Arabidopsis thaliana: one gene and its partners. The protein of the gene in region 2 interacts with the protein of the main gene of each other region in a pairwise test. Each region holds a gene or a part of one and is shown on either strand. Other genes may lie near its edges. The genes, in order: SAUR9, AT3G12620 and AT1G79130.

What was found.
Region 1: the proteins of AT3G12620 (region 2) and SAUR9 interact in a two-hybrid assay, tested with the Arabidopsis thaliana proteins (one large-scale study listed by BioGRID).
Region 3: the proteins of AT3G12620 (region 2) and AT1G79130 interact in a two-hybrid assay, tested with the Arabidopsis thaliana proteins (one large-scale study listed by BioGRID).

Annotation. Positions count from the first base shown.
Region 1 is NC_003075.7:17,088,057-17,091,482, reverse strand, and holds SAUR9 (SAUR-like auxin-responsive protein family), read right to left. Parts: upstream 1,550-3,426; 5' UTR 1,453-1,549; coding exon 1,138-1,452; 3' UTR 610-1,137; downstream 1-609. UniProt on the Arabidopsis thaliana protein: Provide a mechanistic link between auxin and plasma membrane H(+)-ATPases (PM H(+)-ATPases, e.g.
Region 2 is NC_003074.8:4,008,642-4,013,245, forward strand, and holds AT3G12620 (Protein phosphatase 2C family protein), read right to left. Parts: upstream 3,035-4,604; 5' UTR 2,548-3,034; exon of another isoform or gene 2,460-2,547; 5' UTR 2,353-2,459; coding exon 2,028-2,352; intron 1,939-2,027; coding exon 1,571-1,938; intron 1,421-1,570; coding exon 1,184-1,420; intron 1,097-1,183; coding exon 869-1,096; 3' UTR 629-868; downstream 1-628. Other genes in the region: SAP5 (A20/AN1-like zinc finger family protein), read left to right, coding at 4,066-4,548.
Region 3 is NC_003070.9:29,769,406-29,772,397, forward strand, and holds AT1G79130 (SAUR-like auxin-responsive protein family), read left to right. Parts: upstream 1-1,812; 5' UTR 1,813-1,913; coding exon 1,914-2,318; 3' UTR 2,319-2,482; downstream 2,483-2,992. UniProt on the Arabidopsis thaliana protein: Provide a mechanistic link between auxin and plasma membrane H(+)-ATPases (PM H(+)-ATPases, e.g.

The DNA of each region.
Region 1 (3,426 bases), on a different chromosome or scaffold from region 2:
ATTAAAAGCATAATCTGATAGAATTATATCTCTCTCTAATATATAAGAAAATAAATTTCATTATCACTTAAATATAACTATGTGATAAGCTTTGCTTGTATTATTATATATCGACACAAATCTTGAAGGCGGCCTTACCAAATTAAAATGAGTTTTTGATATAGTAAAACAAAAACGAGGCAATTGGAACAAATGATAAATCATGAAAACGAAACGACGAAAAAGCAATTATTGTTATCAATAAGAACCCCACTCAAACAGAAATTACTGTAGACTTTGGATCATACTTATCGACTTATCGTCTTCTCATGACGATTAGTTTTTTTCCTTCTTCTTACGATTAAAGTCTACAGATCGAAATATAAATAGTTTTCATTACGCTTTGCTCAGATGAAGTAGAAACAAGATTGCAACTACAAATATCAGATGAAGTAGAAACAAGATTGCAACTACAAATGGTAAATCGTTGATGTTTGGCCAGTTATGGTTGATACTGGATAGACCGTGAATGTTTTTTTTATAATATTTTTTAATATGTTGTATTTAGTTTTTATTTTATTGAAACCAAATTTATTTGCTAATCAATCATTATTTTGTAACACTAGTTAAGTTAACTTATGAAGGTTTTATAGAAGATAATAATTAACAACAGTTTTAGAATGAAAATTCTTGAATAAAAAATTAATACAAATAAAACTAGCTATTCCTCTCAAGAACCAACGGTCAACAATACACGTTGACTTGAGGGAAAAGTCTTCCATCCAAACTAATATACAAAATATTTGAAAATAAAATATATAAAAGAAGGCACCGAAAATATATAGAAGGAAAAAAAAATCCCAAAAGAGTGGTTAATTAAAAAAAACTGTTAGGTATATTAATATAGCCACAAATCTTGAGTCGATACTTAACGCGATCCCCGCCATTTGCTTCCGTCTTCTTAGCAAAGAAAAAAAAAACCTAAATAATAGATTGCATATATTCCTTATTTCTTGTTTCTTGGTAATAACTTTGAGGATTTGATCTTCCGAGTCTGGAGTGTGACAATGTGATCAAACTCTTACTTCCTTAAAAGGGGAATATTTCTTGAGAGAATGACCAGTTGAGCTAATGAAGACCAGTCCTCGATATCGAGTATTATCTGAACATTGAGATGAGAGAACGAAAGACGACTTCATCACAAGGGATAGTGAGACCCATCTCGTGCTCGAAACCAAACTCTTCCTCGGCTAGTTGGAGGAGTGACTGGAACTCATGATGATCTAGCCACGAGATTGGGACCACATAGCGACTTCGGTGTTGACCGACGTAGACCGGGAAGTGACCTTTTGGCACGTCGTTGAAGTAGCAATTACCTTGATTCTTCTTTCCTAGACTTGAGCACCTCTTCAAGATTTGCTTTAGAGATGCTGCTTGAGACAACGCCGCTTTGTTCGACTTCTTTATCGCCATGATTTGACCTTATTGAAATCTAACTTGGCTAGAGAGAAGAGGGAAGAGGGAGAGAGAGTTTGGTATGTTTGAAGAAAGGTGTGGATGTGAAGGTGGTGGGGAGGAATATGGAGGGGTATTTAAGGGCACAATGAGAGAGAAAATTTTGGAAGTGTTTATTAAATTTAATAAGAAAAATCTCATATATGCTTTTAACATAGATTTATTAGGTTTACTTATGACTTTTTGGATGATTTGTGACTAGGTTATATGTATTATATACACAACAACGACTAATTCATGCAGAACCACATGAAGTGTTTCCTTGGTGATCAAATCAAAGCCGCGTAAGTACGTAACATATGACATCAAATATAATTATTAAATTTCATAAATGTCCAAACACTTGTTTTTATTCGTACATTATCTTATATGATCTCTTCAAAATTTGAACATTTTCCTTTTATCACAAGACATAAAAATACAACGTCCAACTATTTTCAAGGGTTATTGTTTTTTCTTACAAGGCCAAATTGTTATATTATGGCCTAGATAGAGTAGCCAAATGGTCTAAGTTTTTTTTTTTTTTTTTTTGCATCAATGAAGAATTAAACTCAGGACTATCTAAAGATATAACAATGCTCCCAAATTTTCCTATACCACTATATCAATCCATCAAAATATTCTTTTTTATATATGTAATGTGAAAGCAAATATCATGTGGGATGTAGGAAACAAAGCAGTTTTAGAGACAAGCCATAAGGGAAAGGCCAAAAATATGTAAAAGAATGCATACAATAAAATTTTTGGAGGGTCTTATAAATAAGGTAGGGACTATATAAACACTACCCTACATTGTCTCTATTTTGTGTTTTTATTTAGACACAACTCTACAAATTAATACAAGTAGTGTCTGTTTTCTCTACACTTGTTATAAACTCTTCTTCAGAATTTGTCTCTACTGAAACTTCCAATTTTATTACAACTAATATATGAATAAATAACCAAAAAATACCATATGGCCGTTAATAGATTTAGATACCCGTTTTGTCATAAATTGAGTCCGTTTACAAAAGGATTACGGACGAAGTATAGAGATATATAAACCAAAGTACGTACTTGCAACTACAAGATCACATGTCTTTTGCTACAAGTAGAGTTGCCAACACTTTAATGCCCATTCTTTTATTTTATTTTTTGTCTATAAATTAAGATGTACAAAATAACACCAAATGATTAATGTAGTTTGGTAGTTTTATATTTTCTTGGTTAACCAAATTCATTGAGAGGATATACGGGTTATTACGAGGTTCATATGACATTATATTTTATATCTACTGACCAAGCGGAACTTAACATTATGTTGGTCACCGACAAAAATACAGTATATATAATAAGTGCCATGCGGAAAAATCAGCGGAATTTGAGAACGTTAATTGTATATCTACAAACATTTTGGGGTCATTTCAAAATTCAGTCAAAGAGTTAGAACTTACAAACCATTAATATCATTTACGGAAGATTAAAATATGAAAATTTGATGGGTTAACTAATTTGGTAACTAAAAATATAATGATCTAAATAGTTTATCGGAAATATGTTTATAAAAACATATGGGAAAAGATGTAGCTAAGCAAACTTCGTCCCCATGTGAAAATCTGAAAACGAAAACAAATGCTTAGGTTGGAACCTATCTTTTGTTTAATTGACAGTATCAAATCCATGCAAGTTCCCATTTCATTCCTCCGACGCCTTGTGTTCCACGTACTTTTTTCCATTTATATATTCAACTTCTTATTTTTCGTTCCTTTTTTTGCTTTTTGCCTATCATTTTAATGGTGATGAATCAATCAACATCATCAAACATTTTCATCTTTGGCTTTGTGATAATTCCAGTCGAATTAATTGCAAATTTTCCGTGGTAGAAACACCATATCGTGTATATCTTGATAGCCAAAAAAGGAAATTTTAAGTGTGGTTGAAAAGGACTTTTTG
Region 2 (4,604 bases):
TAGAGCTTATTCCAGCATTTATGATTTTCAGTCGCGTTGTCTTGGTTAGGACATGATTCAACGCCCATCACATGCTCAGGGGTCAAGATCCCATTTCCTGGAGCTGTCTTTATTTATTTATTTTAGTATTAGTAAAAAATTTCCATGTCCTTGCTCATAACCAAAACATAATTTCAATCATAACAACAATATACAGTAATCCATTTGTAAAATGTTAGTTTTGTCGCCATATCTCCAAATGAATTCAAATTCGATGAAATGCATGTGCGAACATATGGATCATTAGATTATTTTGTTTTCATTTCGATTTACTATTGCGTGAATTATTCGTGATCTTTCAAGGTCTTTTAGATAACTATTCTAAATATTTTGGAACTATAGTCGGATGATTTTTTTACTGAGAACTGTAGTCAATTATATTTAAGGTAACTTTAATTTGTGACTGACAAGATCTTTTGAATTCTTAGGCCATGAAAAGCAATGTTGTTTTGTCTTTGACATAAAAGACGAACTTGTAGCAGTATCGGTCTCTACTGCATCAATTACACATTCGCTTATGTTTTTGTATATACACTAAAAATGACAACATAAGCAAAAAGTGGTAGATGGAGGTAGTCAGTAGTAGAAATCTTTCCAACAAGTGATATCTCTTTATATTATCCATAATAAACTCAGTTTGCCAAAAGACCTATACATTGGATTTCAACTCTTCATTTTTTTTTGGGATGAATAAAAAACAGAGTTAAGAGGAAATTTTTATATATAGAGAAAAAAAAAAAGAAGGAACTTGAATTGCGTTTTGCAATGTGTTTTTATATATAGTGGATAATGTATATATAAGATATATATAGATGTGGTGAGAGTAGAGTCAAGTAGAAGGTCCAGCTAAATCACCACCACCTGAGATGGAGAGGAGAGGTCGGCGTGAGGTACTGCGACTGACGAGATGTGAATCAAGAAACACAACTATGACTGTTATATCATCATGAAAATGTCTCCGCACTCCTCTATCGATCTTTTTTAGATCCGAATATCTCATCTCTCTCTTCTTTGCTGCCTCTCTTAGAGCTGTTTTTATGAGCTTCCTTGCAATCCCCTGCATACCCACATGTTCTCAATCAATCTTTCTATCTATTTGCACATAAAACGAGAGAGAGTAAGAAAGAGCAAGTGGCAATCTTACATTGCGCGGGCATGTGTTCACAATGTCAACAGCTTCTTGATTGGACAAGTGCTCCCACAAGCCGTCTGATGCAAATATAAGAAACTGATCTTCTGGATGGATTTTGTGTACTGTAATTGCCGGCTCTGCTCTAAGGATGGGCTTATGGAAAACCTCAGGGACCCTGAACTTTGCCAACAATGGTTCCCGGTTGAATTCTGCTTTCTTTAAGTATGCATCACCAATCGACCGTGAAACCTTCAAGAACCAGCCACGGGTTATATCTAGCGAAAAATCCTCTTCTTATACATGCATAGGGCTTACTTAGTTGTATCTTTCACAGTCAAGCTACTTGCAAGAAAAGAGTCTAGAAGTCAGCAACTCGCATTACCGTGAAAGTATTTTTACCTGTATAATACCTTTGACACGCCAAACTTTGTGCTTCAAGACCACAATCTGAGGATCATTTGGATGCAACGAGCGCAACTCCTCTCTCACAGATTCAAGACTTGCATTATGCTCAGACGATAACTGAACGGCCTTGACAATTTTAAACGCTTTTTCCAGTCTTCCTAGCACAACCCGAGAATCTCCAGCGTTTGCAATATACAACAATCCACTACATATGATCCCTACCAGACAACAAGCTCCAACAGAAGCAATCTGTGGTTTAATCTGCCACTGCCGCCGGACAAGAGAAAGAAAATCTTCTTCCGTAGCTAAAAACGCTTTAGTTATAACATTGGCAGACATTCCATGATTCTCTGATGTAAACTCTGCAATCAGAAAATGTCACCAACTTAGAACATAGATAGTCCCAAACACACACATATCAAATATAACAAAAAAGAAGGAAACAACGTACTCCTGATGTTGTCGAAGAGGTGTTTATTAACGAAACGGGCAGCTTCAGGACCACCATGACCATCATAAACACCAACAAAAGTAGCTTGAGGACCAGAATCAAACATACTAACAGGTCCAGACTCAAGCTTGCTATGATCTTCGAGAAGATTATTAGCTTGAATAACAGACATAGAGAACTCTCCAGCAACATGGTTACCAGAATCTTTATACCAAAGAAGACCATCACATCGACCATTAGCGTCTCTAGTAGAATGATCTCCTTTAACAGAAGGTCGCCTCCAACATGGTGCTACCATCCGCAATATAGTTGCCGATGATACCATAACTCACATAATCCCCTCAATAATCAAAATTTCTTTACTTCATCTAAAAGATCACTAACACCCCCAAAAAAACGGAATCAAATCAAAATTTGCTTATTCCTCCTTCCCTAAACAATACACCAATACGAATGCATCAATACACATTTGTCGCGCATATACAATTACGAATTTTCTTCAAGGATCGAGATCAATTACCTTAAAAAAAAAAAGCCGCGAAATGATTTACCGTTCGGACAAAACAAAAGTGAAAATTGGATCGAGATCGGAAGCAGGAGTTACGATAAGAAGGAATCGTAACTCCGGTTGGGATTACAGAGAGGAAGAGAGATGACGAGAGAGAAAGAAAACAAATCTAGCAGGCGACTCTGTCAGAATTCCTTATTTGGGGGTTCGATTTCTCTTATTTTTCTCTCTTTTTTTTTTTCTTTTTTTTTTGATGCTTTTTTGTTGTCATTTGGTTTTCGAGTTTAGCTGTTTAGGCATTGACCTCAGAAACAACCCGACGTTTTAGGCAGCTTTTTCTCCCATAGTTAGCTACGTTTCTCCATTTTTCAAGATTACTAATTTTATTAAAATATTACTATAATAAATAGATTTTTATTTACATTTTCCATAATCTGAATGAAATCAAATATATGCAAATATCAAAAGTATCACCTGATCACCAATTCCTAGTTTTGTCCAATGATACTGATGATTCATCAGCCGATTGATTGAAGGAACAAATTTGAAGTTTTCCACTGCTAGTTGAATTATGGTTAGTTCATTTGACTTATCAAAATCAAATGACTAAAATATTCGAATTTTCTTACATGCTGTAGAGATTAATTTCAATTTTAATTCATCATCCCATTATCTATATAAGAAAAAAGTAGAAACATTTCGCGAAATACAATCCACCTTCTGGGTTGTTGTCTTGTTGAATATGGTCAGGAAAATAAGACCATTAAAGCTTCAACCTCCAAGCCAAAGAGCAAATAAAATACTACTGATTAACGCAAAAACATGGAAAAAAAATAAAGTCTGCAAATTGGCATGTTGACATGTTGTACGCGTAGCTTTACAACCTCACAGGTCGTTTTTTTTGTGTGACAGTTTTAACCCCCAAAATCTCTTTCTTTTTGTTTTTCCCTAAAGTAAAAAATAAAAATCTAACATGTCCGAAGTCGAACCAAACATAAACATACAGGTGTTCGAAACTAGTTAACACAATAACACCTCTAGATATATATATGATTATGGTATTACTTTTCTTTGGTGATTTTTTTGTTGGGAGAGAAACATAAATAAACAAGTTGGCCCATATTCCAGCGATTTTCCTCACCCTTCTTTGATATCTCAGTTTATAAAAGTCATGATACTAATAAATTAGAGTATACTCAAAGAAAAATCAGAAAATACACCCAAAAAAGCAAAAATGTGAGAAAGAGAAACATGTTGTTGTCCGCTGTATGGCGTCATAAGCCATTCTAGAATCATTGAAATGCATATTTAATCCTCTCTGGTAATTCCAAAAAAGCGATGAGGGTATTAACGTAAATCCACCAGAAGACGAGAAAGTGGGGATGGTGGAAGGAGAGATGATAAGAGAGATGGAAACGCGTCTCTCTATGAGGCCCATATTCCATTCTTACCTCTCTCTACCTCTCTATCTCTCTCTCCTCATAATCGATCCGTAAACTCGCCGGAGGAGCAGGGAGATTCAATAAGACGATGGCTCAGAGAACGGAGAAGGAAGAGACCGAGTTCAAAGTTCTCGAAACCTTGACGACAACAACAACGACGTTATGTACCAATAACTGCGGCGTTACAGCGAATCCTGCGACGAACAACATGTGTCAGAAATGTTTCAACGCATCTCTCGTCTCGGCGGCCGCAGGTGTTGTTGAATCAGGTTCGATCTTGAAGAGATCGGCTAGATCTGTCAATCTTCGTTCGTCACCAGCTAAAGTCGTGATTCGTCCAAGAGAGATCGATGCGGTGAAGAAGAGAGATCAACAGATCGTAAACCGATGTTCTGGTTGTCGGAAGAAAGTTGGGTTGACCGGATTCAGGTGCCGATGCGGTGAGCTTTTCTGCTCAGAGCACCGTTACTCCGATCGTCATGATTGTAGCTACGACTACAAAACCGCTGGTCGTGAGGCGATCGCTAGAGAAAATCCGGTGGTCAAGGCTGCGAAAATGGTCAAAGTTTAAAAAATTAAAAATTCGATCTCAACCGTTGAAAAACTTGTGGTGGTTCAAAAGCTCCG
Region 3 (2,992 bases), on a different chromosome or scaffold from region 2:
TCGGCAACAAATCCATCCGGTTATTTTCCTTGTTAAGAAGATCTCAACGGATTCATCTCAGAACCTACCCGTAAGAGATGGATCGTCTCGTTTCGTATATTGATTTATATCCTCTGTTGTGCATTTGATATCATAACAGTCAAACCCTAATTCCATATGGATCACCACCGCAACACTTTCACCGGCGGCTAATGATGCGAGGAAGAAAGTGGCAAAAGAGGGACAGTGAAACCGAAGACTATATAGCAGCTTTGGAGTTTCGATGGTTCAACGATTCAGCAAATCCAGGTTTTTGGCTTTCCCAATTTTTTTTTATTAATTAATTTTGATTTTAAGGGTATTTTTGGCAATATATTTCAAATAAACATTTTAAATATAAAAATATTTTTTTAAAAAAAAGATTTAAATTAAAGTGGTAATTTAAAACTTTAAACTTTAAGAAAATAATTGATAAAATTTAACTAAAACAATGTTAATTTCATTATTAATTTTTGAAAGTTAGTTTAAGTGTTAAATTTTAAAAATATCGAAAACTAACCGCGCCTAGGCATCCCGTCCTTAGTTGGTCCGTAAGTTTTGTGGTGTTCGAAGTTCGGCATGGTTTTCACGTAATATAGATTTAACACTTAAACTCATTTTTAAAAAATAATAATAATTTTCACTAAAAAAAATTAGAACAATTTTAAAATAACTGATAAATTTTAACTAAAACCATGTTAATTTTACAGTTTACTTTTTAAAAATAAGTTTAAGTGTTAATTTTGAAAACGTCGAAAACTAACCACGCCTAGACATCCCTTTCAAGCTCGTGAATACTCATTTCCATCTCATGGAGTTTCTTCCTCAATTCGACCACCTCTTCCTCCAAATTCGACACTTTACAGATAATCGCCTCTTCGCGAGATCCAGTTGCTCGAAAGAATCCGTCGGAATTATCGATAGAATCTCAATAGGGAGCTCAAAATCCGATCGACCTTCTTTGACTATTCCAAAAATCTCGACATCTCTTACGTGAATCTTTTTAGGGTTTGATGGAAAAGACACAAAGAAGATTAGGAATCTAAGAATTTTTCTCACTAATGATTATTTGTCTTCTATTTAATTTGGCTACAAGCTTTGTTTCTTGTTCTCCCACGTTTAAACACTCTTTTCCCTCCAAAAAAAGTCAAAGATGAACATTAATTTTGTGTTCGTTTACTTTCTTATGAAATCTAGTCAAAGAAGAATATTAATTCCAGAAATACAATTAAATAAATTATGATACAAAAACCATCTATCAATATTTATATTTTTGTTATTTTGCTAAATTATACTCTTTTTCTTTTATATATATATGAAAATATATATACATGGAAAGCAAATAAAAAGTAAATTAATAAATACTACGTCTTTTTCTTATCCACTCGTCTCTGTGTATTTATATGTTAATTTACCATCAAACGGGAAAATTACGTATTCATGGTAAGAAATAGATTAATAAATACAACGGATTTTTATCTACATAGTCTCTTGGTTTATTCTGTACATTTCATCATACATAAAAAAGTCTAAAATTAATTTGTACAATAATCAAAATTTGATTTTAGCAATCCACATTTGTTAACAATTACCCTTACTATTCTTATTTGTAATTTGACTAATGTAAGTGAGGAAAGTTTTGAAAATAAACCAAATTTAGAGAATTTCTCATATTGCATAATCAAAATTAGGTAGTTCTTTCAATTGTTAAATTGACCATGACTCATTATGTTAACACATATATGTATGAAATAAATTAAATACCATTTTTGTGTCATCTCAAAATATAATAATACTTAATATACACATTTCTGATAAGCTTAATGTGAGTCCACACCTCTCTCCCATATTTATGTCTCTCTGTCTCTAGCATTTTTGGCTGTCTAGGATCAAAGATGAAGCCTCTGATTCGACGTCTGTCACGAATCGCAGACTCATCCTCCTGCAACCGAAATCGCAGCGGCGATATCCATCACCCGACGTCAACGTACTCCTCTTCAGTTTTCTTGGTCAAGCGAGCAACCGTCGCGTCGAGTGTTCCTTCCGGTCACGTTCCCGTCAACGTAGGCGAAGATAAGGAGAGGTTCGTGGTGAGTGCAGAGCTGCTGAATCATCCTGTTTTCGTTGGATTGCTGAATCGATCAGCTCAAGAATACGGATACACTCAGAAAGGAGTTCTTCATATTCCTTGTAACGTATTCGTGTTCGAGCAGGTTGTAGAGTCTCTCCGATCTGGCATCGCTGATGATACATCGGAGCTCATTGCATCGTTATCTGGTGAAGATGTATCTACAGAGTAGATGATGATGATTCTGTTTTTTTTTTGTTCTTCGATCTTCTCCTTTTTTATTTGAGTGATCGGAGAAATTCGTCTTGATGATTTGGATATGAAAATTGTTTTTTCGATTTTATCTCAAAATTATCAATTTAATTTGTACTGTGAAATAAAATTGAAGTGACAAAATACAAGTTATTTCACGTACCGTACTACGGATCATCATCAACTATATAATAATAATAATTATTTTAAATTTGAAGTCAATATGAATTATATATCCATGATATCGTCCCAACACCTAACATTTAATTGATTGAAAAGTTCAGATATATGATGCGATGTGAGTCTTGCGTGGATAATACACTATGAAAAGATGTAAATCCACTATAATGATTACACATATTTTTTATTGAATTTTTGTACTTATTAATTGAAGACCTATGATAATTCGAAAAAAATATAGTATAAAGTAGCAAATATCTTGTAGTAACGACGAGAGACTTATAGTTATAGGTGTATTAAAATGGGGTCTAGAACAAAAGGTCTCAACATGGCCGTATCTTCTTGTACCGTTGTACGGCTGGACTTTTTTTTTTTGTGGGGAACAATTTGCTGTTCACAGCGTACAACATACATTAGCTGAGATCTCCATCTCTATTTTTATAACAAAGTAAACGGTTTGTGGCGAACTGTTAG